Stegostoma tigrinum: one gene and its partner. The protein of the gene in region 2 interacts with the protein of the main gene of each other region in a pairwise test. Links are inferred from orthologs where the notes say so. Each region holds a gene or a part of one and is shown on either strand. Other genes may lie near its edges.

The links.
Region 1: the proteins of cep72 (region 2) and pin4 interact in binary tests that used the Homo sapiens proteins (3 or more experiments, as listed by UniProt). The two-hybrid records come from large-scale screens. The link is inferred for Stegostoma tigrinum from reciprocal best matches to the Homo sapiens genes CEP72 and PIN4.

Annotation. Positions count from the first base shown.
Region 1 is NC_081368.1:50,283,154-50,298,592, reverse strand, and holds the start of pin4 (peptidyl-prolyl cis-trans isomerase NIMA-interacting 4), read right to left. Parts: upstream 7,165-15,439; 5' UTR 6,963-7,164; coding exon 6,929-6,962; intron 1,607-6,928; coding exon 1,539-1,606; intron 1-1,538. Other genes in the region: pla2g12a (group XIIA secretory phospholipase A2), read left to right, coding at 13,033-13,231.
Region 2 is NC_081355.1:19,598,480-19,613,953, forward strand, and holds the start of cep72 (centrosomal protein of 72 kDa), read left to right. Parts: upstream 1-8,110; 5' UTR 8,111-8,213; intron 8,214-11,407; 5' UTR 11,408-11,512; coding exon 11,513-11,576; intron 11,577-15,474. UniProt on the Homo sapiens protein: Involved in the recruitment of key centrosomal proteins to the centrosome.

The DNA of each region.
Region 1 (15,439 bases), on a different chromosome or scaffold from region 2:
TTTTGACCTTTGTGCCAGATGGGATTGGATCTTAAAAGGAGGGTACAACTATAAGGGGTATTTGTGAGTCCATACCTGGGCTACTGTGTATAGTTTTGGTTCCTGTGTTTAGAAAAAGATAAACTGGTGTTGGAAGCAGTTCAAACTTGATAAATTAAGCTGATTCCTGAGATAAAGAGGTTTATTTATCAGGAATGGCTGAACAGGTGAGGCTTTTATTTGCTAGCATTTAGTAGAATGATCTTATTAAAACATACAAGTTACCGAAGAAGAGGGCCTACATTTAAAAATGAGATACAATACAATTTATTTTCCCGATGATAGTGAATGTCTAGAATTTCTATACCCTAGAGAGTTGTGATGGCTGGATCACTAAAAATATTTAAAGAGAAGGTAGATTAATATGTGAAATATCGTGGATCTGAGGGGTGTCACAAAAGGAGTATTTCAAGCCTTGTACAAATCAATGATCTTGAGGTAAGTTTGAGGGGCAAAATGGCCTGCTACTGTCCCTATTTCCTATCTTGTACCAATCAATTGTAGAGTATTTTCACACTAATTTCCTGCCTAACTATATTAATATAATCTAATTCTGATTCTTTGAAGTATCTCTTGTGATAAAATTTAAGTATCTAACAATTTGGCGTAACGATTAAAAAGATGCAGGAAAGTGAGAATTCAGAGCTCTCAATGTGAAATAATTAGATACTTCTACTAAAAGCAAACTAATAATATATTATTACACCAATAACATTAAAAAATACTTTGCTTTCGCTCTGTCTTGGGCTAAGGGCATCGCTGGCATGGCTAACATTCGCTGCCATTCCTATTGCCCTTGAACTGTGTGACTTTCTAGACCATTTTCAGAGGGTAATTACAATTCATCCATTTTGTTGTGGGTCTGACATCACGTGTAGTCTAAATCAGGAATGGATGGCAGGCTTTCCTCATGAGTGACACCAAAGGGTATTAGTGAACCGAATCTGTCTTAACAATAATTGACGATAGCTGTCATGAGACCCTTGCTAACAGTAGGTTCACGTTCCAAATTTATTAATTTACTTTAACTTCCACCAGCTGCTGTGGTGGGATTTGAACACATACCCCTTTTGCATTATCATGGTTCTGTGGATTCCTCATCCAGTGACATCATAGCACGTTACCACCTTGCACAGCATAGGATTCACATCAAAAGATCTTAAAATAATATATATGACACTTTTTCTGGAAAATCTGTTTTGCAGTCAGATGAGGAATTACTCTGCCAAAAACGTTAACATTAATCATTGAAGTTGCTACTGATTGACAGAATAATGTTTGCTCTGCTTTCAGAGCTGTTTTCAACTCTTCCTCGTTTTAAAAATGCATTTTCAACAAACATCGTAAAGCATCAGGAAACTCAGGATTCATTTTAACTTCTAATTTAACATTTGCCTAGATTATATACTTATTCCTTATGTGATTTTTGAACTAATAATCTACAACATGAAGGTATAAGGGAGTGGCCAAAGAAGATAATTTACACTCTGATTGCTTACCTTCACTGCATTACCCCCTTTGGATCCTTTTTCTTTCTTATCAGTACTATCACCACTGGCTGCAGCACCTTAAATGTACAAAAATGGAATATGTTTCTTTATTTTTTTAAGTAAATGCACTGGTGATTCATAATCCACGATATTCAACTCATGGCTGCACGAAATAGAGCTTCAGCTATATTGTTTCTGGAATATTTGGCTACAGTATTAAAAACTAAAGATTTGATTCTCCAAAAAGAATAAACAATAACAAAGCCAAAATGCAGCAGTTGCTGAAAATCTGAAATAAAAACAAAGTACATGTCTGGCAGCATTTTTGGGGAAGGAAACAGAGTTAATGCTTCGAGTCCAGTGTGATTATTCCCTCGAACAGATTCAAAAAGAAGAGTTCTGAAAAGCTACAAAGAAGAGTCAGATTGTGCTTGAAGCACTAACTCTATTTCTCTCTCCACAGATGCTGCCAAATCTACTAGGTTTCTAAACCACCTTCTATTTTTACTAACATAGTAACTTGGTCACTGATCTCACAAATAAGGAAGTTATGCTTCAGTTATACAGGACACTTGTGAGGCTACATCTGGAGTTCAGTGTGTTGGCCTCCTTTTTTAAGGAAAGATGCAAATGAAATGGAAGCAATTCAGAGAAGATTCATTAGATTAATACTTCAAATGGATGGATTCTCTTATGAAGACGGTTTGGTCTGGCAAGTCTTGTATCTCCTGGAGTTTACAAGAGTAAGAGACAACTTGATTGAAACATCTGAGGTCCCAAGGGGTCTTGATAGAGGGGATACACAGATGTTTCCTCGTGTGGGAGAATCTAGAACTAGGGACAACTATTTCAAAAAAAAAGCTGTTGCCCATTTAAGATGAAGATGACATGTTTTTTTCTCTTAGAGGGTAATTAGTCTTTGGAACTCTCTTCCTCAAAACACAAGGGAAGCAGAGCCCTTGAATATTTTTCAGTGAAGATGGATAGATCTTAGAGTAAAGGGAAGACCTTTAAGATAAGGAGAAACTTCTTCAGCCGGAGAGCGGTGAATCTGTGGAAGTCACTGCCTCAGAAGGCTGTGGAGGCCAAGTCATTGAGTATATTCAAGACAGAGTTAGATAGGTTTTTGATTGTCAAGGGTTAAGGAGAGAAAGCAGGAGAAAGGGGTTGAAAAGCTTATCAGCCGTGATTGAATGGTGGAACAGACACGATGGGCTGAATGGCCTACTTTCTGCTCCAACGTCTTATGGTCTAGATAATTAATATGTGGGTAAAAGGTCATTGGGAGTAGATGGGATTGTGGTTTGAGATTGCAATCAGATCAGGCTTGATTTTATGCTGGTGGAGCACATTTGTGCAGCTATATGGCCTACTTCTTCTCATAATTTCTATGTTTGTATGTTGTAGGAAATATATGTACATCCAGTTCAAAGTGGTAAAGAGTACTGATGCCACAACTGGCATTACAGTATGATTTCAAGTGTGTGGGTTTACTCCAGCATTTAAAAGACAGAAGATCCAAAGTTTTTGAGAAAACTTGCAGCTCAGGCAATGGATGAGGTTGTAGATTTGCTTGCTGTGCCGGTGTGTTTGATTACAGGCATTTAAGCAAGACAGACTGTCAAAAAATGAAGCCAGAGGGATCCAACACTCCCCAAGGTACACAAGGTAGGGGTCCCCCCAGACCCACTGTCTCACTACCAGGCACATCAATATGTAGACTAGCCAAAGAACTACAACAGAAACTGAAACACTTAGTTGACAACACTACTGCTCCAATCACTCCTCCCAGAATTCCTCAACATCATCAAGGACACCAGAACAGAAGAGGACAAGATAATGGTATCCTTTGATGCAGCAGCACTATTTACATCCATAAACATCGACCTAGCCAAAAGGACAATTGCCACGCTACTGGACGAATCAGGAAGGCAGGCACCTCACGTCATCAACAAGGACAGCACCCTGAAACCCCTGGATCTGTGCCACGCAACCCACTTCACCTTCAACAGCCATACGTTTAAACAAATGAGTGCAACACCAATGGGATTCCCAATATCAGGACTGATAGCAGAAGCGGTAATGCAAAGGTCAGAACAGACAGCGCTCCCTACCATTCAAACAAAACTCTGAGTCCACAATGTAGATGACACGTTTATGATTATCAAACGCACAAGACTGGAAGAAACCCACTGACACATAAACAATATCCTCACCAGAATAAAATTTACAAAAGAAGAGAACAACTGACTACCCTTCCTAGGCATAATGGTGGAACGCAAGAACGACAGGGAACTCCAGACTAGCATACACAGAAAGACAATACATATGGGGCAGATACTTAATTCACCAGCAACCATCCCAACACACATAAACAGCGCTTCATCAGGACATGATTCAAATGGACTACAACACTCTGCAGCAATCCAGAATTGTGCAAAGCAGAACAGGAGCACATATAAGGAGTTTTTAAAAGGAATGGATACCCAAAGAAGCACAATCCACCATTACCTCCACAACAGACCACAACAAGGAATAACACAGCCAGACACACCAGTCACCCTACCGTACATAAAGGACATATCAGAGATGATTCACAGACCATAGGTATCAGATTAGCCCCCAAACCAACAACCACCCTGCAACAGCTACTGACAAATGTGTAGGACCCCATATCCACAACTGACAAAGCTAACGTAATATACAAAATATCATGCAAGGACTATCAAAATATCATGAGAAACATTATATAGGCCAAACTGGAAGAAAAGTGACAATAAGGATGCACGAACACCATCTAGCCACCAAGAGACACACCCAGTTCTCACTGATCTCAATACACGCGGACAAAGAAGGTCACAAACTTGACTGGGACAACACACTGATAATAGCACAAACCAAACAGACATTCCAGGGAATTCCTGGAGGCCTGGCATTCTCAGTGGATCTCCGTTAACAAATACATTGAACTGGACCTGATATACAACCCACTGAAGAACAAAACTGGCAGTAATACCAACCACCTCAGCAAACCAAGACATATCATTAACAAGCGGGACAGAACACCAATGTTTTACCAGAGGCACACTGACGAAGTTACCTCGCAGGGTGATGGAATATCTGCAATCAAACACACTGGCTTGGCAAGCAAGTCTGCAATCTCACACAAGATCCAATTATTGACTCGGGGATGTTGCTGGACTGGAGAAGATATCATTGATATAGAGGTACAATTCTGTAGATGATGACAGTCTAATGTTACATATTTTGAATGGTGACTCTTAATGTGTGACACCAAACAGGGAATGTGACCTGGTAACTTGTCTATGAGGAGTCACAAATCCCTAACTTTGACCCGTATCTCGCATGGCATTTTCTGGCAGCAGGCATTCAGAAGTGGATGAAATAAAACTAAAAATTGCAGACACTGGAGAAGTTCTGGTGATGAGTCACTGCACTCAAAGTTTTAACTCTGCTTTCGTCCAACAGATGCTGCCAGACCTGCTGAGTTTCACCAGCAATCTCTGTTTTTGACTCAGAGGGAGAAACCTTGCCCAGCATTTCCCAGTTTCTAATTGAAGGGCACCTGAGCAAATCTTATCACCCACCCTACTGCAAAATCAGGTCAAGGAAGAAAGGTTGGAAATTTTCTGATATATGTAACTAAACAGCATATCATAAGACCATAAAACCATAAAACATAGGAGCAGAAATTAGGCCATTTGGCCCATCGAGTCTGCTCCACCATTCAATCATGCGTGATAAGTTCCTCACCCCCATTCTCCTGCTTTCTCACCATAACCCTTGATCTCCTTGATAATCAGGAACCTCTTTATCTCAGTCTTAAAGGTACTCATTGACCTGTCCTCCACAACCTTCTGTGGCAGTGAATTCCATAGATTCACCACTCTCTGACGAAAGAAGTTTCTCCTTGTCTCCATTCTAAAAGGTCTTCCCTTTACTGTAAGGCAGTGCCCTGGGGTCCTGGACTTTCCTACCAATGGAAGCATCTTCCCAACATCCACTTTGTCCAGACCATTCAGTATTCTGAAAGTTTCAATTAGATCCCGCCTCATCCTTCCAAACTCCAACGAGTATAGTCCCAGAGTCCTCAAACGTTCCTCATATGTTAAGCTTTCCATTCCTGGGACCATTCTCATAAACCTCCTCTGAACCTGCTCCAGGACCAGTGTATCCTTCCTGAAATATGGGGCCCAAAACGGCACACAATACTCCAAACATGGCCTGACCAGAGCCTTATAAAGCCTCAGTAGTACATCCCTGCTTTTATATTCAAATCCTCTCAAAATAAATGCCAACATTACATTTGCCTTCCTGACTCAGCCTGCAAGTTTACCTTGAGAGAATCCTGGACTAGATCAGCCAAGTCTCTTTGCACTTCAGTCTTCTGAATTTACTCCCCATTTAAAAAAAGTCCATGTTCCGATTTTTCTTACCAAAGTGCACGACCTCACACTTTTCCACATTATTCTCCATCTGCCACTTCTTTGCCCATTCTCCATAACATGTCCTTTACCTTAAGCTCCCTTATCTAGTATGCATCATTGCACAACACTAAATTCAGTGTTGTCTGTTCCCTTGTGGACTCCGCCATGAGCTGCTCCAAATGTTGCATCCCTGTGAAATAATCTGCCAGATGATCATTTTACAATGAGAAGTACAAATGTATCGCACTAATGGCTGCACAATTTAGTCCCTAAAATAAGATTAAAAGCCAAAAGAAGTGCAGATGCTGTAAATCAGGAGCAAAAACTCAAGTCACTGGAAACACTCAGCAGATCTGGCAGCATCTGTGAAGAAAAATCAGTTAATGTTTCAGGTCCAGTGACCCTTCCTCAAAACCGCAGCCTAAAATAAGATTAATCCTTTAACTAACTATTTCCAGTGCGTGCACGTCTACATAACAGTAAATGTTATTTAGAAAGCAGAACACAATCTCCTCTGAGTTAGTATACTGGCTGCTGTAAATCAGCAATCTCTGGCAAACACAGCATTACGAATAAGGAGGAAAATTAGACCAAAACATTAAAGTCTGGCCTTGTATCAGAATTACATAAACGTCCCTTTGGGCTTAAGCTTTAGTCCAACATCAATTGTAAACACTGTAGAACCAATCTCTCCTTTTGTTACCCAATATTGTGCTCCTGGGATGCTGCTGGGCCTGCTGTGTTCATCCAGCCTGACATTTTATTATCTTGGATTCACCTCCCAGGCTTCATTTACGTGAGCAACACTCGCTGTCAGGAACGAGTGAAATAATCACGACTGATACTAACATCCATGTCTACCCTTTTGAATTTATATTTGCACAGCCACAACAACGTCTAGACTTCAATCCGAGCAATGATACGGTTAGACAATGTTTAAGCTCGACACACCTTTCCCACCCTTTGCCTTTCCCTTAGGAGGCATCTTGAGAGCGAAGGAGACAGACGCCCGGCGCCTGATAAAAGGTCCGCAGAATTGGAGCTGTCAAACAGCCCTTTCGGCCTATTAATGAATACCCAAACGAGACGGCAGCGTCCAGGTTTTCACGTCGTCAGATGTTGCGGTGAGAGAATTTTCTCGAAAAGTTCTATATCAGAAGAAGAAAAGACAACTCATGTCGTCATCAAGCAGCGCCGACGAAGTAAGGGGCCCACAGCGACAGAACAAATCTCGGCTGAGTGTGAACACTGAACAGTAAATAGTACAAGGTGAGTAATGGAGATAGTCTCCTCCTCTCCAGCTTACAGGGTGAGGGAAAGTGCTTTCGTTTTGGATAGAAATGTTAGTTTTTTTTTGCTAAATGTTGGGGGGGGGGGGTATATGCTGGTTGGATAATAATGCTGAGTCAGGCGCCTCTGCAGCAGTTTATGTCTGAACTTTTAACCAGGAAATGAAAATGAGCACAAAATGGTAATAAGGGTAGTAGGAACTGCAGGCGCTGGAGAATCCGAGATAACAAGGTGTAGAGCTGGATGAACACAGCAGGCCGAGCAGCATCAGAGGAGCAGGAAGGCTGACGTTTCGGGCCTAGACCCTTCTTCAGAACGGAGCGTCAGCCTTCCTGCTCCTCTGATGCCGCTTGGCCTGCTGTGTTCATCCAGCTCTACACCTTGTTATCTCAGAAAATAGTAATATACGTTTACATGGGACGTAAGCTCAGGGAGACATTGCTGTGGTTTTCACAATACCGAGTGAGCAATTGAGAGGCTCAGGCTACTGCTCTGGGAACACGAGTTTGAATCACAGCTGATGGAATCGAGAGTTGGTCTTAGGAATGGTGATTATGAAACAATAATCGATTGTTGTAAAAACTCGTCTGGTTCTCTACTGCCATCAGGGAAGGAAATCCACCATCTTCACCCAGCCCAACCTACAGATTCTAGATCCACGGCAATTGGCTGACCGTTCTCTGAAGTGATCTAGCCAGTCACTCCATTCAATTAGGGATGGATAACAAACCCTGAGCTTGCCAGTAACAGGTATCCTATGGAAGAATTTTTTTTAATTAAAGATGCCTTTTGTGTCAGGCCCCATAGTACTTTGGTAAGCAATTAATTACTTTTCAAAATCAATAACTTATTATTTATGTTACTACACCAAATCATTTGCACATAGAAATGTTGTATAAGTAGTAAATTAATGAGTGAACGATCACATAATCTGTTTAGGGTTTTGCTAGCTGTTGCGAGTGTGTTGGGCTGCACCTGATCAAGCAAATAGGGGCTTTCTCTGAATTGATAAGACACTTGTAATCTTGATCAGATGGGCCAGTGAGCTGAGGAATGGCAAATGAGTTCAATTTAGATAAATGTGAAGTGTTGCATTTTGGTAAGGTAAACCAGATAAGATTTGGACAGTTAATAGTACGATTCTTGGGAGTTTTGCTGAACAGAGCGACCCAGAGGTGCAGGTGCATAATTCCTTCAAGTTCGATTTGCAGGTAAACAGAGTGGTGAAGAAGGATTTTGGCGCACTTGCCTTCATTGTTCACAATGTTGAGTATGGACATTGGGACATCATGTTGCAGTTGTACAGGACTTTATTGAGGACACTGCATACGATTGTGATCGTCCTGCAATAGAAAGGATGCTTTGATTTTGATTTTATTGTCTATGTACTGAAGTACAAAAGTACAGGAGTACAGTGAAAAGTGGATAATGTTACCACGTAAGGTGCCATCTTAGGTATGAGTACCGAGCTACAAAATCTTAAGACTAAATTAGAAAGAGAGAACAAAGTTAAAAGTAAAACATTGCAATAATTATAGAATAGTGTAAAATGTATGAAATAAAGTTAAAGTTACACATTGCAGACCTCCTTAGTTTTAAGTAGAAAATAAAGAAATGAAGCTGAAAGTTTAAGCGTTATAGTCTCTCAAGTGCTTAGCCACAGTTTGAGGAACCACCTTGAGACCCGAAGCCCATGCCAGGCTGAGAGTCTGGCAGACCATGCTACCAGGCTGGGAGAGCGCCCTGCTGGCTCTGTGCTGAGTCCAAGGCTGGGAGTCCGTGGCCAGCAGGAGAGAAAAGAAGGGAAAAGAAAACACACAAGAGAAGAAACAAAAGCAAATGGATGAAGTGGAGGAGGACCCTCTGATGCATCTTATTCTGCTCTTATCTTGGAAGATAGATGTTTTTGAACTTGAGAGTGTGCAGAAAAGATCTACAAAGATATTGCCAGGACTGGAGAGTTTCATTTATAGGGAGAGCCAGAATAGGCTGGTGGCTTTTTCCCTGGAACGTCAAATGCTGAGGAATGACCTTTTATACAGGTTTATAAAATCATGAGGACCATGGATAGGATGATTATCGAAGGTCTTTTTCCTTGGGTGTTTGAGTCCAAAAGTGGAGGGGATAGGTTTAATGTGACAGGGAAATATTTAAAAAGGACATGAGGGGCAACGTTTTCATGCTGAGGGTGGTGAATGTCTGGAATGAGCTGCCAGATGAAGTGGTGGAGGAGGGTACTATTACAACATTTAAAAGGTATCTGGATGAACAGGAAAGTTAGAAGGATGTGGGCCAAATGCTGGCACATGGGACTAGGTCAGATTGGGATGTATGGTTGGCGCACATGATTTGGACCAAAGGATCTGTTTCCATGCTGTATGATACTATAAGTAAGGAGATGACGAAGATGAGATTAGACCCAATCGAGAAAAGTGGGAGGAATGAGATGATTGAAAGTCAAGAAAAAGGTTATAAATAAGTGATCATTTTTCAATGCAGCAACATAATCTTAGAACATTGTTTTTCCTGGATCTAGTTCTAAAGCTTGCACATGATTGCGCTGCATTAATTTAGGCTATGTTTGTGCTAAGGGTGGTCATTGGAATAAACACAATTGGAAGTATGATTGCAATGGTTCCCATAACTGAATAATTTGCTGAAACCTAAAATGAAGATCTAACAAAAAGCTGATGCAAAAATTGCTATGTTTCTTATGTCTGCTGCAACAACGAGAAGTGAACCAACCACCCTGTTCTCTCCTTGTAACCTTTGTCTTCAAATATGTAAGTTTCTTACAAATGCATTGGCTCTTTAAACCACTGCCTGTTTAAAAACATCCCATGATGATTTTGGTCAAGTGTAGAAATTAACGAGTATCTCTTGAAAAGAGGCAATCCAGTGACTGCACACAGAGAAAACAAGGGATCAAATGTGAGAATTATCTCTCCCATTCAGAACAGGGAGAAGTATATTTGATGATAATGATATCCATAGGATGGGTGTTGCTAGCCACTTCAAGTGTTCAGTGCTCATGAGGTGTGGGTGGAAGTTCAGCAGGAGTGCATTGTGGCTTTACGATAGGAGACCAGGTATTTTCGGTCTAATTTTCCAGTTTTCTTTTCTTTGTACAGCATTTATACTAAGGCCTTGAGCTATCGTGGGCCGCAACCAATGTCAATCAGCAGAGGAGCTCCACTTATTGATATTTTGAAGGCCTCAGAACCTTAGGATATTCTTTTCAGCCCTTATTCAATCTCCAGTTTTAAGTATTTGCAGTTGTTCCAACACGTGCCCAAGGGCACATTCCAGCCTTCAAATTGATCCTTATCCATCCAGAAGACTGTTGTTCTGTCCCTAACATAGTGAAATATCTAGGTATTTTGAGAAGAGGACGAAGAGGTGCAAGTTGACAAAGGTAAACCTAAAAGACTAACATGAAAATGAGATAAGGTATTGAAAGACAAATAAATTTCGACAGCAAGGCCTACATTGTGGTGGGGGTGACACATCTGAAAGGCCTGAATAAGGGAGGAGGGGGGGGAAATGAGAATCAGAATCTGTAAGCAGATTAGTTTTGATTGTGGAAACAAATGTTTATTTAACTTTTGTTTTATTGCCTTATTAAGTGTTTCATGTCCTTCTATCTTGGCAAAAATCTAATAACATGAGGGTCAGAATCTATCATTCAGTGTGGAGCAGGCTAGGTGAGGGTAGAACCACAATTTGAGACTTCACTGTTAAAATGAACATTCCACGCTGTAAAATGAACTTGGGAAAATTGACTTCTGTTTTGAAGCTTCTATATCTGCTTTTGTCAACATTTCTAGACTATGTTTTTGAAAGTACTGTTTAATTCAAAACCATGATGGTTAGCTTTCCTAGACACATTATTACAGTATGCATGTTGTAAAATTAGCAATGACTGTTGTAAAATTTATGTCTGCAGCAAAAATAGGATAGATTTGAGTGTTTGGTAAATGGTGAGAAGATAATGAGCAGAAGTCCAAGAAAAGTATAACTGTGTCTCTGTACATGGACTGTTCAATGTAGGGAACAGGATCAAAAAATAATTTAAAAGGGTAATGAAATGTCAGTCCTTGAATTCTAGTCCTCCGAATAAAAAAGAGGAAGGATGTTTTATGAAGTTGTATTAAATTCTGGTTGGATGCAGTTCTATAAACCACGCTTCAGGGTGTATTGGCTTTGGAAGGTGTGTTGTGCAGATTATCTATTCTTATTCAGAGAGCTGGTGCTGACATAATAGGCTCAATGGCTTTATTCTGCACTGTCATAATCTGTGATTCTGCAGATAATACTAGGGCTCCAAGCCTTGGTTTATGAGGAGAGTCGTTACAGATTAGGTTAGTATCCACTGGAATATAGAAAAAATTAATTGAACTTTTTAGGATTTAGAAAACAATTGATGAACTAAAAGTGAAACTTTAATAGGTAGCAACCCACAAATGCATAAAAGGGAAGCATGACCTTTAAAATCAGAGACAAGCTCTTCAGGAGAGAAGTTAGGAAACACTACTTCTTCGCACACATTGTAGAATTCACTCCTGCAAGAAGCATAAGTGTTAATTGAATTAATTGTGTATAAATTACTCGTTGCCAGTTTGGGATATTAAAGGATGTGGAGCCAAGGCAGTTGCTTGGAATTACCATGATCCCGTAAGATGATAGAACAGCCTTCAGGACGAAATGGTATACTCCTTTTCCTGCATCTATATGCTCCAATTTGTTGTACATTCAGTAATTGTGGTACCTCGCACAGATGTAGTGCAAGTTGGTCTTTGTATGATTTGATGATGCATGGGGATGAAAGATTATAAGGGACATACAGGAATGTGGAGTTGAGGTTAAAGTCAGATCAGCTGATATTTTATTGAATGTTGGAGCAGGTTTGAATGGCCAAGTGGTCTACCCTTGTTCGTTGCCCTTATATATGTTTGCATGGTTACCATCTTGAGGTAATGTTTTGATCTTTTATCAGTAATGTCAGTTTAATCATTGCTATGGTAATGAAGACTTAAACTCCAGTGTAGATTGCTTTTTTTTTTAGCGATTACGCAGGGAATTTGAATAACCTGTATTGTGTCTTTTACAACATTATACTTTTTGAATGCGATATTAGCCAACACAGCAAATATTTGAGATAATGGGAACTGCAGATGCTGGAGATTCCAAGATAATAAAATGTGAGGCTGGATGAACACAGCAGGCCAAGCAGCATCTCAGGAGCACAAAAGCTGACGTTTCGGGCCTAGACCCTTCATCAGCAAATATTTCATCTGTTCGACTTCAAGGACTATCATTTGCTTCTGTTATGAAGTAATGGAATTTATGGTTATGAAGTTTGAATTTTGAATTTAGAGAATATATTTTGAATAAATTTGATTTCATAGGCCCTCTTCTTTTTTTCTCTTTCTCCCCCGACCCCATTCTAGATTCGCAACAGTGCGAACAGATGTGACATTTTTCATCCAATTTGGCATGCTGTTCTCGTCCATGTGACCAACACTGATGTTTGTACAGCATGACAGTCCTGAAGCAGTTGCCAGAAGAATATCTATCTACAACAGCATTCAAAAGTTCAGTAACCAGTGCTGTCTGACTGCACTAGATTACCTTGGTGCTGAAGTCACTTGCTGAACATTTTTAAAATTTGGCTATGCAATGCCAGTGAACCTTTGCAATAGTATTTTATGTTGTAATCAAAAACTTGAAGTGAAAAGAGTTTCAGTGCAGAGTTTCCATTGAGGATGCATTTGCTTGTCTATGTGCTTGTGGGAATTATTTTCAAGAGTCATGGGTACTATTCAGAAGTTACACACTACAAAGACTGGATGGGGAAGCTGAAAACAATTCGTAACGGAATTCATAAAATTGACATGTATTTAAATGCAGCACTGGATTTATTAGGTGGAGAGGATGGGATCTGCAAGTACAAATGCAGTGATGGTGAGTAAAATGCATAGTAATTACAGAACTTTGAGGTGAATAGGATTTTGTAATTCCATGTAAAATAGAGAGTTAAACCATTTTATAAGTTCTAATGGCATCACTACTCAGATTTCTATTCTGCTGAGTAAGCTTTCTATGAAATGAGGCAATTATTTTCAGGAAATCCATTAATCTGCAGTTTACTAACTCAGTCATTCTGATGTGCCATCAAATGTTTCTTACCTGTGTTATACAAGGGTTAGTGATGTTTTGTGGTAAAGAAAGAAAAATGCCATTTGTCACCAAGTTACATGAACAGTTTTCTTTATTGAGGCATGGCATTAGATCATCTGAAACAGAGTTCAATTTGAAGTTTTATTACAGAGTGTCCTTGTAAATTAGATTGTTCTGATAAGAATGAGTAGTTGTCAAATGAGACATTCAGCCTGTCAAGGTTCATTCTTGCAATTAATTTGAAATAATTACAAAGTCCAGGACTGTGTATTTTGTGATGGGGCTGGTCCTGAGGCTCAGTGTAAGAGCTCGGTAGTCAGTCCAGACCCATGACAGCTGATACATCCAAAGGACAATTACGTAGGCAGCTACTTGGGTAACATACCTTCCTGAGGTTCCTGAATAGAGGAGAATGACAATTGTGGGATAAGATCATAACACCATAAGATACAGGAATAAAATTAGACCACTCAACCCACCAAGTCTACCCAGCCATTTGATCATAGCTGATAGTTTCTTAGTCCCATCCTTCTGTCTACCCCTAACCTTGATCACCTTCCATAATCGAGAACCTATCTATTTCTGTCTTAAAGACACTCCAAGGCTTGCCCTCCACAGCCCATGAGCAAGTTTAAATATTGTTTCAATGTTCAGGGTGATGGCTGAGAAGTGTAATCTGTGCCAGCAAAAACAGGAGTTGCTGGAAAAGCTCAGCAGGTCTGGCGGCATCTTTGAAGAGAAGTCAGAGTTAATGTTGCAGGTCTGGTGACCCTCCCTCTGGGATGAAAGTAGAAAGCAATAAAATAATATTGGAAACACTGATAGTGATTCCAGAAAATGATCTCAACAAAGAATTGCCAACAATGTAAAAGGGAAATCTCTTAGTGGTATTCCCTGTAAACATAAATGTGGAAGTCGAGCCTATAAAGGCTTCAATAGATTACATAGCAAAATAGCCTACAGTACAGTTATGAGAAGTCCTCCTGAAAATAATGACAGTTTCATTGCTAATAATCAGGAAAATGATTCTATGATCTTGCAACAGATGCAGCATGAAGAAACTTAGTTGGAGGGAATATGCACTTTATTCTGAGATACGAGATAAAGGTCAACTGGCTTTGGTACGTGGTTGGAATTGTACTGAAGAGTCCTTGCAGATGAGATCCTTTTTGAATACTACTGTGCAATTTGAGAAGCGTGTTACTAAAAACAATTCAAAATTGGGAGTCAGGCTTGTGTGACTTCTAAATCTGATATTTTAACTAGTAACCAAAGTGGGTCAGGATTGATGACAAATTTATTCCAATTTTGAGATGTTTATCCCATCCGAGTTACTAGGTCATTACAGAAAGATGATATTCCATCTAAAGAGACAGAGAAATTGCAAAACTTGATCAACTAGTTGAATTGGTTGTGCATTCCGACAAGATCAGATGCTACATCTGATATGTTGAAGGGAAGTACTTCAGTGAATCTCTAAATATTGCAAAGAGCTGTGTATGCTGAAATCAAACAAAAGACAATACTGAAAAAAATGCAGCTGGTCTGGCAGTATCTGTGGAGAGAGAAACAGTTTAAGTTTTGAGTCTAGTAACTATCTTTCCACAGTTGCTGCCAGGCCTGCTGAGTTCCTCCCACTGTTGCTGTTTTTGTTTCACATTTCCAGCTTCAGCAGATCTTTGTTTGTTTTAATCCAACTTGTTAATTATACTCAATCCTAATCAAGTGATTAGATAGTGTTAATTTCAACTATCTTTCAAAGATTAGTTATAACAGATTCAGATTGCCCAGGATACAATGGACAGAGCCAAGTCAGATATTTTTAATGCAACGATCGGTTATACTTCTGTTAACAAATCCAGCTCCTCCCCTATAAGCTGTTTCGAAATCATCTATCTTCGGCCAAGCTGGTCACGGTAACACAGAATATGACCCAGTTAAGAGTAGAATAATTAACCAAGGTAAAACATACAACTTCATATGATTCATGAC
Region 2 (15,474 bases):
AGAGATAATTCAGTGTTAACCGTGTATTCCTAATTGGTTTAAGTATGAGCGACCACCTTAATTGAAAGACATCCACAAGTTACACATTTATCTTCAGGTAACCTTAGGGTTTTTGCCTCCTTTATGAATGAAGAAAAAAACTTGTTCTCAGTCATAAATTTACTTCTAATTAGTGATTGGATTTCTTTCTTACTGTTTAAAGTATATCTTTTTTTAAAAAATCTATATGCTTATGAGTTTAATCAGATATGAAGTTTCGTTGAACAATCTCTCTCAAGTTATTAGTTTTGATTGTTCCCTCATTACTTTGATTTTAGTTACGATTTGATTTGATTTTAGTTGTCCGGTGTTTGGCACTTCGGAGTTCCAGACTACAATTCTGGTCACCTTTGTGTTAACAGATCTACAGTTTTTCATGATCCTGTAGCATCTCAACTTTAAACAAAGTCTCATTCTTGTTTTCAGATTCCTCGATAGTCTCACCTTTCTCCCTTATATCTCCTCCTACAATGTTTTGAATTTATGCACTCCTCAAAAAAAGTCTATTTGTGCATCTCAGATTGATTACTCCACCGTTGATGGAGAGTTTCTGGCCGCTAAAATTCTCAACACTGGAATTTATTCACTAAACCTCTGTCTCTCTATCTCACTTTCCACGCCTGTGTAAGCTTTTGTTCAACAGTCCTAATACTTTCTTATGTGGTTTAGTGTCAAATTTTGTTTGATAATGCTCCTCCGAAACACCTTGAGATGTTTTAAAGTCATTACGTAAAATCCAAATTGTTCTTGTTCTCTGTTACTATAACTGTTACTATCTAATCTACATTAGATTGAGATGAACATCGTCCAGTTCTGAGGAAGGGTCACTCGACCCGAAATGTTAACTCATTTTCCCTTCACAGATGCTGAGCATTTCCAGAATTTTTTATTTGTTCCTGAACATAAGCTAACATAACTTAAAAAAGCAACATATTATGATGTTAGAAATCTGAATAAAACAGAAAATGCTTGAAATTTTCAGCAACTGTGGGAGACAAATAGGGTTCAAGTTTCAAGTGATGACATATGATTCGAAATCAGTTTAAAATATTGTTTCAGCCTGTGCTTCTTGTGTGCTTTTGAACTTATTTTGAGCTGGTTAATGGACATCCCAGATAATAATTACTTGAAGCAGCAAGGAGGAAATAAGCTGAGACAGGATGACCCAATGGGCAGGGAATAAAGATTTTGCACTGTCATGTACAGAATGTGCAATTAAGTATTGCAGCTACAAATGACATTTACCTGAAAGTTAGTGATGCATGTTGATCCTATTCATAGGAGTTTCTATCCTGTAATTAATATGATGACAGCATGTATGGATAAGAAAATGTATTTGAATAATGAGGACACCTGTTAGTAAGAGTTGCATCAAATTGCTCATGATTGTTTTCTTTGTGAGAATGTCATGGTATTTCTATGACTCACATTTAAAATTTAAGATCAAATTTCAACTAATTTATCTAAGTAGTATATATAATAAATTTTTGCCTGGAATCCAGACAGAAACAAGAAAGAAATAGAAAGTATTAATGAACAACCAAAGAAAAGAGACACTTGTAATTACGTATTTCTTCTCATGACCTCAAGATATTTCAAAGCAACTTTGTCATTTAAGGGCAGTTGAAGTGTTGTCATTGCCTCACTTCCTACATTACAAAAGTATGTACACAGAAAATTCCTACAAAAAGTCATGGAGGTTTTGTCAGGGATAAAAATTGGCCAGGACACCAGCAGAAGTTCTTTATTCTCTTGGAGCTTGGTCTCTTTCCTGTCAACCTCAGGAAATAGGCAGGAACTTGTTTTCAAGTCTTAGCTGAAACCTCCAGTTACGCAGCACTGTCTCAATACAGCATTAGAGTATCAACATAAACATGATCAAACCTCCAGGGTGGAGGCTGAATTTATGAACTCTGATTCAGTAGTGAAAGAGCTACTGCTGAGCCAGGGCAGGATTAAGAGGCCTAATGCCACGGTCTTGGTTATTAACTTCAGACGGTTCAACATGTTAATGTGCACACCACCACTGTGAGAGAGAGTAATCTACCAAGAAAATAATATTGAATCATATACATTGTGACAATTGATTATGCATCAATTAATGCAGTCAAATCTTCACTTCCTTTTCTATGGAAAAGAAAACCAGTGATTTATTTGAATGGAGAGAAACTGCAGAACTCTTATGGTACAGCAGGATCTGATCCAGTTGTCCTGGTATATATTATATATATCACAAGACATTGACTTGCAGATCTAGCAAGTGATTAGAAAGGCAAATGGAATGTTTTTGTCGTGAAGTAGGGAAGTATTGTGAGAGTTGTACAACACCTTTGTGAGATTGCATCTAAACATCCCTCTAGTGTTTTTGTGTCCTTACATAAAGCATATAATTGCATTGAAAGCAGTTTAGAGCACATTCATTTGTCTGATTCCTTCATAATGTTATGAGTCAAGATTAAACAGGTAGGACTCATGCTCATTGGAGTTTCAAAGAGTGAGGTGTTTGTTTTAAAACATATTAAATCCTGAAGCGATCTGAGTGTGTGAAAATTGAGAATGTTTTGTCTGTGTGTGGATAGCCCAGAACGAGAGGACACAGTGAAAAATTTAGGAGTATCTCAGTTACAGAGTCACAGAGTCATTCAGCACAGAAAAAGACCCTTTGGTCGAGCCTGTCCATGTCCACCAGATAGTTCCAAACTGACTTAGTCCCATTTGAAAACATTTGGCTGATAACCCTCTAATCCGCCCTATTCATGTACCTATCCAGATGCCTCTTAAATGTAGTCATTGTAACCACCTCCACCACTTGGTCTTCCATACTTGCATCACCCTCTGCATGAAAAAGTCACTCCTCAGGTCTTTTTTAAATCTTTCCCCTTCACTTCAGATTAGATACCCCACAGTGTGGAAACAGGCCCTTTGGCCCAACAAGTCCATACTGCCCCTTGGAACATCCCACCCAGACCCATCCCCCTATAACACACACACCCCTGAACACTACAGGCAATTTAGCATGGCCAATCCACCTAGCCTGCACATCTTTGGACTGTGAGCGGAAACTGAAGCACCTGGAGAAAACCCATGCAGACACGGGAGAACGTGTAAACTTTGCACAGGCAGTTGCCTGAGGCTGGAATTGAACCTGGGTCCCGGTGCTGTGAGGCTGCAGTGCTAACCACTGAGCCACCGTGACCCCCCCCACCCAGCCCCCGGCCTGTGCCTGCACAAACCTATGTCTGCTAAATGTTGAGTGAATTCTGAGGATCTTCAGTCTGTGGATTTCTTCTCCCTGGAAAACATAGAACATAGAACATTACAGCACAGTACAGACCCTTCGGCCCTCGATGTTCTGTCATACCGATCTGAAGCCCACCTAACCTACACTATTCCATGTATGTCCATATGCTTATCCAATGACGACTTAAATGTACCTAAAGTTGGCGAATCTACTACCGCTGCAGGCAAAGTGTTCCATTCCCTTACTACTCTCTGAATAAAGAAATCACCTCTGACATCTGTCCTATATCTTTCACCCCTCAATTTAAAGCTATGCCTCCTCGTGCTCAACGTCACCATCCTAGGAAAAAGGCTCTCCCTATCCACCCTATCTAACCATCTGATTATTTTATATGTTTCAATTAAGTCACCTCTCAACCTTCTTCTCTTGAATGAAAACAGCCTCAAGTCCCTCAACCTTTCCTCATAAGACCTTCCCTCCATACCAGGCAACATCCTAGTAAATCTCCTCTGCACCCTTTCCAAAGCTTCCACACCCTTCTTATAATGCAGTGACCAGAACTGTACACAATACTCCAAGTGCGGCCGCACCAGAGTTTTGTACAGCTTCACCATAACCTCTTGATTCCGGAACTCGATCCCTCTATTAATAGAAGCTAAAACACTGTATGCCTTCTTAACAGCCCTGTCAACCTGGGTGGCAACTTTCAAGGATCTGTGTACTTGGACGCCGAGATATCTCTGCTCTTCTACACTACCAATAATCTTCCCATTAGCCCAGTACTTTGGATCCGGTTACTCCTACCAAAGTACATCACCTCACACTTGTCCGCATTAAACTCCATTTGCCACCTCTCAGCACAGCTCTGCAGCTTATCTCTGTCTCTCTGCAACCTACAGCATCCTTCGTCACTATCCACAACCTCACCAACCTTAGTGTCATCTGCAAATTTACTAACCCATCCTTCTACGCCCTCATCCATGTCATTTATAAAAATGACAAACAGCAGTGGACCCAACACCGACCCTTGCGGTACACCACAAGTAACTGGTCTCCAGGTTGAACATTTCCCCATCAACTACCACCCTCTGTCTTCTTTCAGCAAGGCAATTTCCAATCCAAACTGCTATTTCTCCCACAATTCCATTCCTCCGCATTTTGTACAATAGCCTACTGTGGGGAACCTTATCGAACGCCTTGCTGAAATCCATATACACCATATCAACCGGTTTACTCTCATCTACCTTTTTGGTCACCTTCTCAAAGAACTCAATAAGGTTTGTGAGGCACGACCTTCCCTTCACAAACCGTGCTGACTATCCCTAATCCGTTTATTCTTTTCTAGATGATTATTAATCCTATCCTTTATAACCTTTTCCAACACTTTACCGACAACTGAGGTAAGGCTCATTGGTCTATAATTACCAGGGTTGTCTCTACTCCCCTTCTTGAACAGGGGAACCACATTTGCTATGCTCCAGTCATCTGGCACTATTCCTGTAGACAATGACGAGTTAAAGATCAATGTCAAAGGCTCGGCAATCTCCTCCCTGGCTTCCCAGAGGATCCTAGGATAAATCCCATCCAGCCCAGGTGACTTATCTATCTTCATCCTCTGTAAGATTTCTAATACCTCTTCCTTGTGAACCTCAATCCCACCTAGTCTAGTAGCCTGTATCTCAGTATTCTCCTCAACAACATTGTCGTTTTCTAGAGTGAATACTGTTGAAAAATATTCATTTAGTGCTTCCCCTATCTCTTCTGACTCCACACACAACTTACCACCACTATCCTTGATTGGCCCTAATCTTACTCTCGTCATTCTTTTATTCCTGAAATACCTATAGAAAGCCTTAAGGTTTACCCTGATCCTATCTGCCAACAACTTCTCATGTCTCCTCCTGGCTCTTCTGAGCTCCCTCTTTAGGTCTTTCCTGAGTACCTCGTAGCCCTCAAGCACCCTAACTGAGCCTTCACATCTCATCCTATCATAAGCTTTCTTCTTCCTCTTGACCAGAGATTCCACCTCCTTCGTAAACCACGGCGCCTGTGCTCTACAGCTTCCTCTCTGCCTGACAGGTACATACTTATCTAGGATACACAGGAGCTTTTCCTTGAATAAGCTCCACACTTCTAATGTGCCCATCCCCTGCAGTTTCCTTCCCCATCCTATGCTCCCTAAATCTTGCCTAATCTCATCGTAATTGCCTTTCCCCCAGCTATAACTCTTGCCCAGTGGTATACACCTATCCCTTTCCATCACTAAAGTAAACATAACAGAATTGTGATCGCTATCACCAAAGTGCTCACCCACTTCCAAATCTTACACCTGGCCAGGCTCATTACCCAGTACCAAATCTAATGTGGCTTCGCCCCTTGTTGGCCTGTCTACATACTGTGTCAGGAATCCCTCCTGCATGCACTGGACAAAAACTGACTCATCTATAGTATTCCAACTATCATGTTCCCAGTCAATATTTGGAAAGTTGAAGTCCCCCATGACAACTACCCTATCTCTCTCGCTCCTATCGAGAATCATCTTTGCTATCCTTTCCACTACTTCTCTGGAACTATTCAGATTAATTCATTTAACATTTTTAAGGCCTGTGATACATTAGACCTTGATTGACAAGTGACTCAAAGAAGGAGAGGGGAAAGTGGACTTGAGATTGTATTCATTCGAGTTTAGAAGCTTGAGGGGAGATCTAATAGAAACTTACAAGATAATGTATGGCTTAGAAGGGGTGGATGTTAGGAAGTTGTTTCTGTTAGGTGGGGAGACTAGGACCCGTGGGCACAGCCTTAGAATTAGAGGGGGTAAATTTAGAACGGAAATGAGGAGACATTTCTTCAGCCAGAGAGTGGTGGGCTTGTGGAATTCATTGCCACCAAGCGCAGTGGAGGCTGGGATGTTAGATACCTTCAAGGCAGAGATCGATAAATTCTTGATCTCACAAGGAATCAAGGGCTACGGGGAGAGTGCAGGGAAGTGGCGTATAATTGCCCATCAGCCATGATTTAAATAGCGGAGTGACTCGATGGGCCGAATGGCCTTACTTCCACTCCTATGTCTTATGGACTTGAGGTTACAAGCAGAGTAGCCATGATCTTTTGTTTGACGTTTCTATAAACAATGCAGATGAGAATTTGGAAGGCATGATTAGTAAGTTTGTGGATGACACCAAAATTTGCAGCAGAGCAAAGAGTAAAGAAGTTTTTCTAAGATTACGGAGGGATCTTGATCAAATATGTCAATGCGCTGAAAAATGACAGATGCAGTTCAATGTGGATAAATGTGAGGTATTGTACTTTGGTACAACAAATAGGGGCAGCACTAATACAATTAATGGTAGGGCCTTGGGTAATGTTGTGGAACGGAAAGACAAAGGGGTTCATGTACATAGTTCTTTGAAGGCAGACCAGTATCTAGAAAGGCATTTAGCACACTTGTCTTCATTGCTCAGTCCATTGGGTGTAGGAATTTGGAAGTCATGTGGAGGCTGCACAGGACATTGATGAGGCCTGTCCTGAAGTACAGTGTGCTGTAGTTATAGGAAGGGTATTTTCAAGTTCGAGAGAGTTCAGAAGAAATTTACCAAGATGATGCCGGGTATGGAAGGCTGGAGTTAAAAAGAAAAGCTGGATAGGCTGAGTCTGTTTTTGCTGGAGTGTGGGAGGTTGAGATGTGACCTTCATAGAAGTGTATAAAATCATGAGAGATATAGGTAGGGATTAATGGTAGATGTCTTTTCACTAGAATGGGAGATTTCAATTCTAGGAGCTATATTTTCAAGGCGTGAGGAGAGAGATTTTAAAAAGACACCATCGGCATTTTTTTTACATAGAGGGTGGTTCGTGTGGAGTGAACTTCCTCAGAAAGTGGCGGACGTGGGAGTTACAGCCTTTAAAAGACCCTTAGATAAGGTCATGAATAGGAAAGGTTTGGAGGGATATGTGCCAGGAGCAGACAATTGGGACTGCTTTCGTTTGGGATTATATTAGGCATAACCCAAGGTCTGCCTCCGCGCTGCATGACTGATGATAGACGAGTCTCGAGGGACCGAATGGCCTTAGGCGCTCTCCTCAGTCGTGCCTGATGGTGCAAGAGCGTGATTTGGTGAATTGAGATTTTCCATTTTTGGCAGGAAGAATACCTCTGTCATTTCCCTTTAATTTCAGTTACTGTAAATTTTGGGGATTGAGTATAAGCTAAAACTCGGGTGATGGGCTATACCTGATTAAAATTCCTGGATCCGTTGCGTTGAGGATGCAGTGCCGGCGAAGCATTAATCAGGTGTCAAGTTTGAACAATATCTGTGGGTAAACCCTTTCACTGAACACAATCCAGGGATTTAACCTCACACACTAACAACGGTGTAATTATGAAACAAAGAAATGTGGGGTTCCGGAAATACCGTTAAATTATCGCAGCTTGTATAAACCATGGTTGGTGACTATGAAAAGCAAACAATTCACATTTTATTTTATAACTTTCTTTAATAGTTTTTAATATATTTTAATTTTTATCGTGAGCTTGCTGAACACAATGAATGGGCTGCGTGTAAAAACAGTGCATTCAAATACACTCCAATGGCTGATAACAGATGATCAAACACGTTCTATACATTTATAATCTCTCCATCATTATTAAGAGCCCCCGAGCAAGTTAATAAGATAGTCTCAGTGTTTAAGGTGTTGGGTAGTTCAGTTGAGCCCCCGCTGGGCAGCTCTTTGACGCCTGTTCACTGGGGGTTGTTCACACCCAGATCCTGCAAGCTTTTCAGCTGGTGTCATCTTGATTCCCGCTTCCTGCAGGATCTTTCAGCGCCCTGATGCAACTGTTAACAAGAACCATCTGATGCCACGAAACCGAGCCTCAGGTTCGGTACAAAGTGCAGCTTTCTTGAGGCTGGCGATCGATGTTGAGAGCAGGGTAAGTACTTTAGTGTCGCTGATGAAAAGTCATAAGCATTTCATACGTTACATTTGCCCAGTGGAGTGAACTGCTGGATTCTGGCACCTGCAGTTTCTGTACATGATATACTCACACACCAGTCCCTTTCATTTTAAAATTATTCTGCATTTACTTTTAGTCGTCTCATTTCCTCGAACACCGCCCCCCCCCCCCACCCCGCGGGATATTTTTCACTTCTCACAAGCTAGTCTACGGTATTCACTACTCGCAATGTGGTTCCCCCTCTACATTGGGGAAATGAAGCATTTGACTGCTTTGCTTTTCAGAACATCGTCTTCTGTCCCACAAAAAATAGACCCTGAGCATCCAGTTGGCTGCCACTTTAGCGCACCACCCTGTCCCCTGGCCACCATCTCTGTCTCAGGCTTGCTGCAGTGTTCCAGTGAAGCTCAGTGCAAGCTACAAGAACAACACCTCATTTCCTGCTTGGGAACCCTCCAGCCCTCTGGACTCAATATGGAGTTCAATAATTTAAAGGCCTGAACTCTCCACTGTCCTAGACCCCCACCTCACATGTCAGGCCTTGTTGTCACATAGATAATGGGAACTGCAGATGCTGGAGAATCCAAGATAATGAAATGTGAGGCTGGATGAACACAGCAGGCCAAGCAGCATCTCAGGAGCACAAAAACTGACGTTTCGGGCCTAGACCCTTCATCATTTGTTTGCCATTGCACGCTACCTATTGTTTAGCTATTAACAGTGTCCCTTCATAGCTATTCAACCTCCTAGCCAGCTCGTTATCCACTCCTTTGTCTGTTTGACCTGTTCTTCTCTCTTTGGGTTGTAGCCCAACATATTGTTTACTCCATACCCACACCACACCCCTGCACCCCATCTTCCGCATATAAACTGACATTTCCTAGCTATCATCAGTTCTGAAGAAGTGTCACTGGATCCAAAATGAATAGTCTGATTTCTCTTCACAGATGCTGCCAGACTTGCTGAGCTTTTCCAGCAACATTTTTTTTGTTTCTGATTTATAGTATCTGCAGTGTTTTTTTGGCTTTTATTTGGGACATTTTGAGTTTGGTTATGAATTTATCAACACTCGTGTAAGTTTAAATGCCAGAAACTATTCATTTGAAATAAATAGCGAGTGTGGTGATATTAACAGGTGATGGAACAATAACATTACCACAGTTGCTGCAACAACTTTTTAAAGGCAAACTTTTGCTACAAAAAATAAGGTGAGGCACCACGCAACTGGCTATACAGTGTTTGAGAATGTCAATGTTAGTAACTAACCAATCAGAAACAAACATGATGAGCTGAATGACCTTTAACTGTGCTGTCACCTTTCTATGGTGGCTGGTGATTTAATACTTCCAGTTCACCATAATTTGACAAAAAGTCAGAATTTCATTTTCTAAATTTAAATTTCTGCTAATTTCCACTGAAGGATTCCACTTACGAAAGTATCACATATAAACAGTGAACTTCTAGCAGTGAATCTAGCAGTGTTGGCTTTGGAGAAGGCACAGATCAGGTTCACCAGAATTGTTTATCAATGAGGCACTGGGGAAAACCCATGTCCTTGGGTCTCCCCATGTGCCATGTTGCGTTGCCATTGACTCCCTCTACACCCCAGCAACTGTATCCAGTTGAGCACAGGTTGTTTATGCCCTCAGCTTCCTGTTTTCTATTGGTCTGAGTTTTTGATTCATGAGCTCATCATTGTAAAGACTGTCTGCTTTCACCTCCATCATTATATCTTTCTTCACCCCTGCTGTCGACTACTTGCTACTGGAACTCCAGTCATACTTTTGTTACTCCCACACTCCACTATTCAGTGTTCTTCTGGCTGACCTTCCACCCTTCATAAGCTTAAACTTATTGAAAACTTTGCTACCCGTATCTTAACACACAATGTTTATCCAACAACCCTGTGCTTGCTGATCTACATTGATTCCCAGCATGGAAACACCCGTTTTGAAATTCTCACCCTTATATTTGAATCCTTCAGTGCCCTCTCCCTTCTATCTCTGACAGGCCCCTTAGATTACAACACTCCTCCATTTGTAAATTCTTGTTCATCTCCTACTCCTTTTGTCTGACCATTTGCAACCATATCTTCATCCACCTAAGCTCTGGAATTAATTCCACCAACTGTAATTTTCTCTGCTTGTTTAAACTTACCTGTTTGACAAAACTTTTGTCTCCTCTCCTAATATCTCCTTTGCATCTATGTCTTTGGCCCTCCCCATGTGTCATGTTTTGCCTGATGTGTAATTATAACCCTGTTAAATACCTGTTCCATTATAGTTTCTATATAAGGACATTGTCATAGTTGATTCTAGGGCTTAAACCATTAAGGAAGAATTGTTGCATAAACTTGATTTACGTTCCTTTGAATGTAGAGGTTATATAATGTAGTTAATTTTAATGTGACACACAAAAGGATGGAATTTACTCTTTGTTCTTTATTTATTCTCTCCTCCATTATTGCTATTTATTCACATTCTCTATTTTTCTTCTTCTGCGCTACTGCTATTTATTTAGAAAGGCATAATAAATGCAGCACGGGCCATTCAGCTCAATTAAACTGCTGGTGATATTGCCTATGAATCTCCTCTCATTCTATCAGTAGCACATAAATTAATTGATTAATTAATGAAAATTAATACTTATTTCCACTCTGAGCTTCAAAAATATTTTACATTTTGTAGTCTTGACTATAATATTTCCCTTTGCCAGTAGCAATACAGTTTGTCGGCTCTCTCAGCTACAGTAATATTGTGTTCTTTCTCTGGCTGGGGTAATATTTTCTGTATTCCTGTACTCTCTTTCTACCTGAAATATTAATGTCTGTGTTCTCTCCCTCTCTCACCCTCTTGTCATCTACAGTAACAATATGACCCCTTTTGGTAACTGAATCTGCTATGACTCTCTGAGCTCTCTCTGTCTCCACATACAGTAATATTGTGTACCTCTTCTTTCTAGACTAAAATCATGTTAACGCTCTCCCTCGCCAGCTTCAACCTATAGTAACACTGTCTGTGTTTCCCCACTCTGTCTACCTGCTGTAACAACATCGTCTGTTCCATTTCTCTGTCCACCTCCAGAAACACTGTCTGCGTTTTCTCCCCTCTCCCTGTCCACCTCCAGTAACACTGTCTACATTTCCCCTCTCCCTGTCTTCCTTCCTCAAGCGGTGAACAAGACATTGTGGGCGGAGTCTCCAGGATCTTGCCCCGCCCCTCAGCGTTGAATGACAGGTGGCAGCGCGCCTGCGCCTTGAGACCCGATTTGAAAGGATGGCGCTGATGATAACAGAGGACTGGATTCGGCGGAGGCTGGATCTGAAGGAACAGCGGCTGGGTAAGCGTGACAGGGTTCAGGTGGGGATGTCAAACCAAGGTCTCGGTCACTTTCCGTCCCGAGGGTCGGGGTCGAGTCCTTGCTGCCCGCCCCGTTCCGCTCGGAAGTGCTGTGTTTTTTTTTCCTGGGAACTGAGTTAGGCCTGGATAGCTGCTCACCAGGGTTACTGAGGGTCAGAACTCAGAGATACTGTACTGGATTCCTGGTGACATTAGGCATGTCCATTCTTCTCAGAACATCAAGTAAATAAGTCACTTACTCCCTGATTTCAAAATTGCCAAGACTTATGCTGTGATTTGCATTTATGCACTGTAGGGACTTTCATGATCACTGTTCATCTCAAAATGCTTTACAACCACTGAAGGTTAGTCAGTGCAGTAATTTAGGAAATGTGGCAGCCAGTTTGAGCAGAACAAGGTCCCACGAACAGCAGTGTGATGACAACCTGGCGTTAGTTTCCTTTGTGATGTTGTTTGCAGGATAAGCCTTTGCCAGGGGATAGCACCCCAGCTCTTCTTCAGAATGTGGCTGGATCTTTACAGTCCATTACAGAGAACATTTATGGCCTTGGAAGGATGGTGGATTTGGCAACCTAGAGCCCTGTTTGTATTGCAAAAGAGGGTCAGCCTTGATCTTTATGTTAAACTGCCATGGGATGTGAACCTGAAACTTTATGACTGGGATGAGAATGGCAAGCAATTTAGAAAATGTTTGGCATGTGAGCTGTTATTACAAAAAGAGTGGAGTACAAAAATAAATAAACTTAAATTGCTTATAAAGCAATGGCATACAGCTTTGTTTTTGGGGGTTTCCCTCCTCTTGGAGATGTCCTCTAGTTCTATTACTGCAGTTTAATTTAACAGAATTGCCTCATTGTTGTATAATGTGGGCTATTCTATGATTCCATTGACTGATTCAACACCTGTGGCATTTATTTGAAAGGAATCAACTTTCACTGAGCCAGGAATCGGTTTTAAAATATATCAACATAAACATATTTGCTGGAAAAGCTCAGCAGGTCTGACAGCACCTGTGAAGGAAAAAAACAATTAATGTTTCAGGTCCGGTGACGCTTCCTTCCAGTCCCAAAATATTAACACTTTTTTTTTCCCTTCACAGATGCTGCCAGTCCTACTGAGCTTTTCCAGCAACTTTCTCTTTGTTCTTGATTTACAGCATCCGCAGTCCGTTCGGTTTTTACCTGGTTTTAAAATGATGGGGGAAGTCACCTGACCAGCAACAGTAGCCACTTTTCTACAAACCTCCAAAGTATTAAATTATCAGAACACGTCTGGCCAGTTCCACGGACAATGTCAGTGGCCGCTGTTGAAATTCTCTATGAAATCTAAAAATGACAAACCACCCAGACATCTTGACTGTAGATATTGCCTAGGGAGAAAGGAGATCAACTGAAACTCATTATTTGGGGGTAGAAAGGGAGAGGTGCCGGCTGAGGGCACTTCCTTGATTCAAGGAGTCTTGATCTTTGATAGTTTGAAATGGTTCCTTGTACTTGTCTATCTCTTGATCACCTTCCCAACCAGTGCAAAAAACAACAATTATAGTTCTTTTCAGTCTACCCAGACATGTTATGGCTCTCTCCTGGAGCAGGTGGGACTAGAACATGGGCCTAAAGTTTTTGAGATGAGTTGTAGCTTGTGTTGTGGATAAGGTTGTGGACATGCTTGCTGAGCCAGTGGGTTTGGGTACAAAAGTTTAGTCACCCTGTTGGGTAACATCGCCAGTGTGCCTCTGTTGAAGTGTCCGTGTTGTGTCATCTCTGAAATGTGCTTGATGATTAGTGAGTTGGGTCATGTTGTGTCTTCCTGTTGCGGTCTGTCTGTCTTGGAGGTAATGGCGGATTGTGCTCTTCGGGCATCTATTTCTTGTGAAGATTCAGTGCAAAGTTCCTGTTATGCTTTGTGTAGTTCCGGGTTGCCACAATGTGTTGTGGCTTGTTTAAATAGTATCCTGATGCAGCTCCGTTTGTGGGTGTTGGCATCGTTGCTGGAGCAATTGAGTATTTGGTCTGTATGTGTAATCTTTCTATGTATGCTAGTCTGGAGTTGCCTGTTGTTCTTGCTTTCTACCATTACGTCCAGGAAAGGTAGTTGTTGAAGCATATACAAACAAATCAACAGAACACCAATAGGGTCCCAAATTTCAGGACTAATTGCAGAAGCAGTGACACAAAGGTTAAAATGGACAGCACCTCCCACTATACAATCCAAACTTTTGGGTCCAATATGTAGATGACACCTTTTGTGATTATTTAAATGCAGAAATCTAGAAGAAACCCACTGACACATAAACAACATCCCTCTCAGATTAAAAGAAGGAGAACAAAAACTGACTACCTTTCCTGGACATAATGGTGGAATGCATTAACAACGGGGAACTCCAGACCAGTGTATATAGAAAGACCACACGTGCAGACCAAATACTCAATTACACTAGCAACCACCCCAACGGCCACAAACAGAGCAGCATCAGGACTCTACTTAAACGAGCCACAACACGTTGTGGCAATCTGGAACTACACTAAGCAGAACAGGAACACTTTGTACGGAATCTTCAAAAGAAACAGATACCCGAAGAGCACAATCTGCCGTTAACTCCAAGATGGACAGACCGCAACACGACCCGAATTACTAATCACCCTACCATACATCAAGGCTATTCAGAGATGACCACAATACTAGTCAGACTCCTGAGGTATCAACAAACCGACAGCCACTCTATGACATCTACCGACAAACATAAAGGATCCCGTACCCAAAACCAGCAAAACTGGGGTTATATACTAAATACCATACGAGGACTGTGAGAAACACTACATCGGCCAAACCAGAGGAAAATTGGCAATACGGATACGTGAATACCAACAGGCCACCAAGGGACACAATCAATTTTCACTTGTCTCAGTACACACAGATAACGAGAGACACAAGTTTGACTGGGACAACACATCCATAATCACACTGGCCAGACAGAGACTTGTCAGGGAAATCGTGGAGGCCTGATACTCCGACTGGAACTCCAACAAACCCAATGAAATAGACCCTGTGCACAAATGACTGAGAAACAAAAACCAGAAATAATACTAACCACCCCAGCAAACCATGGTGTATGTGTAACAGAACGCTGATGATGTTGCCTAGCAGGGTGACAAAACGTTTGCAACCAATCTCATAGACTTGGTGAGCATGTCAATTACCTAGCATGTGAGCCTTTTTGGCTCAGACGTTGGTCACCATCATTGTAACACAGAACCCTTAAGCTATGATTATAAGCTTATTAATTGTTATAGAGGTCAGTAACATCAAGAAAGTATGCATTTGGAACAGTGCCAGCAGCTCTCTTCCCTCCAGTTCAGTACAAGTCTCTGTTACGTTTCAGAGTATGTCACAAGCAATGAAAGGATTTTACCTGAAAGGAGCCTTAAAACCTGCTTTGAAGAAAGACGACTCGGTTGTAAAAAAAAATTGTGGTTCTAGAAAGGAACTGGACTACATCTGCCACAACATCACAGGAATTTCAAGTTCTCCATTGAAGCTCATATTTATTTTTCTCTGAGTGACTTTAGCTTTTAAATTTTGTATGTACCCTTCTCCTGTAATTTAGTTTGTTTTCTTGCATGGTAGTGTGCGTATTTTGTCGGACTCTGGACGGCTTTTTAGCTTTTCAATTGCTGTAGTATACCTGAGTGAGTTTGACAGTCTCATGAGCCCCCTTATTTTTGTGAATGTGAGATTTTGCTGATTTATTTCTTCATAGAGCTTTGTGTGGTACCACCTGTTAAACTGGTAGCTAAAGTCGGACCATGCAAAATCTTTGCAACCTGGCTAAATATTACAACCTTTAAAAATGTGAACAGTTATAACCAGACGTGGTCATA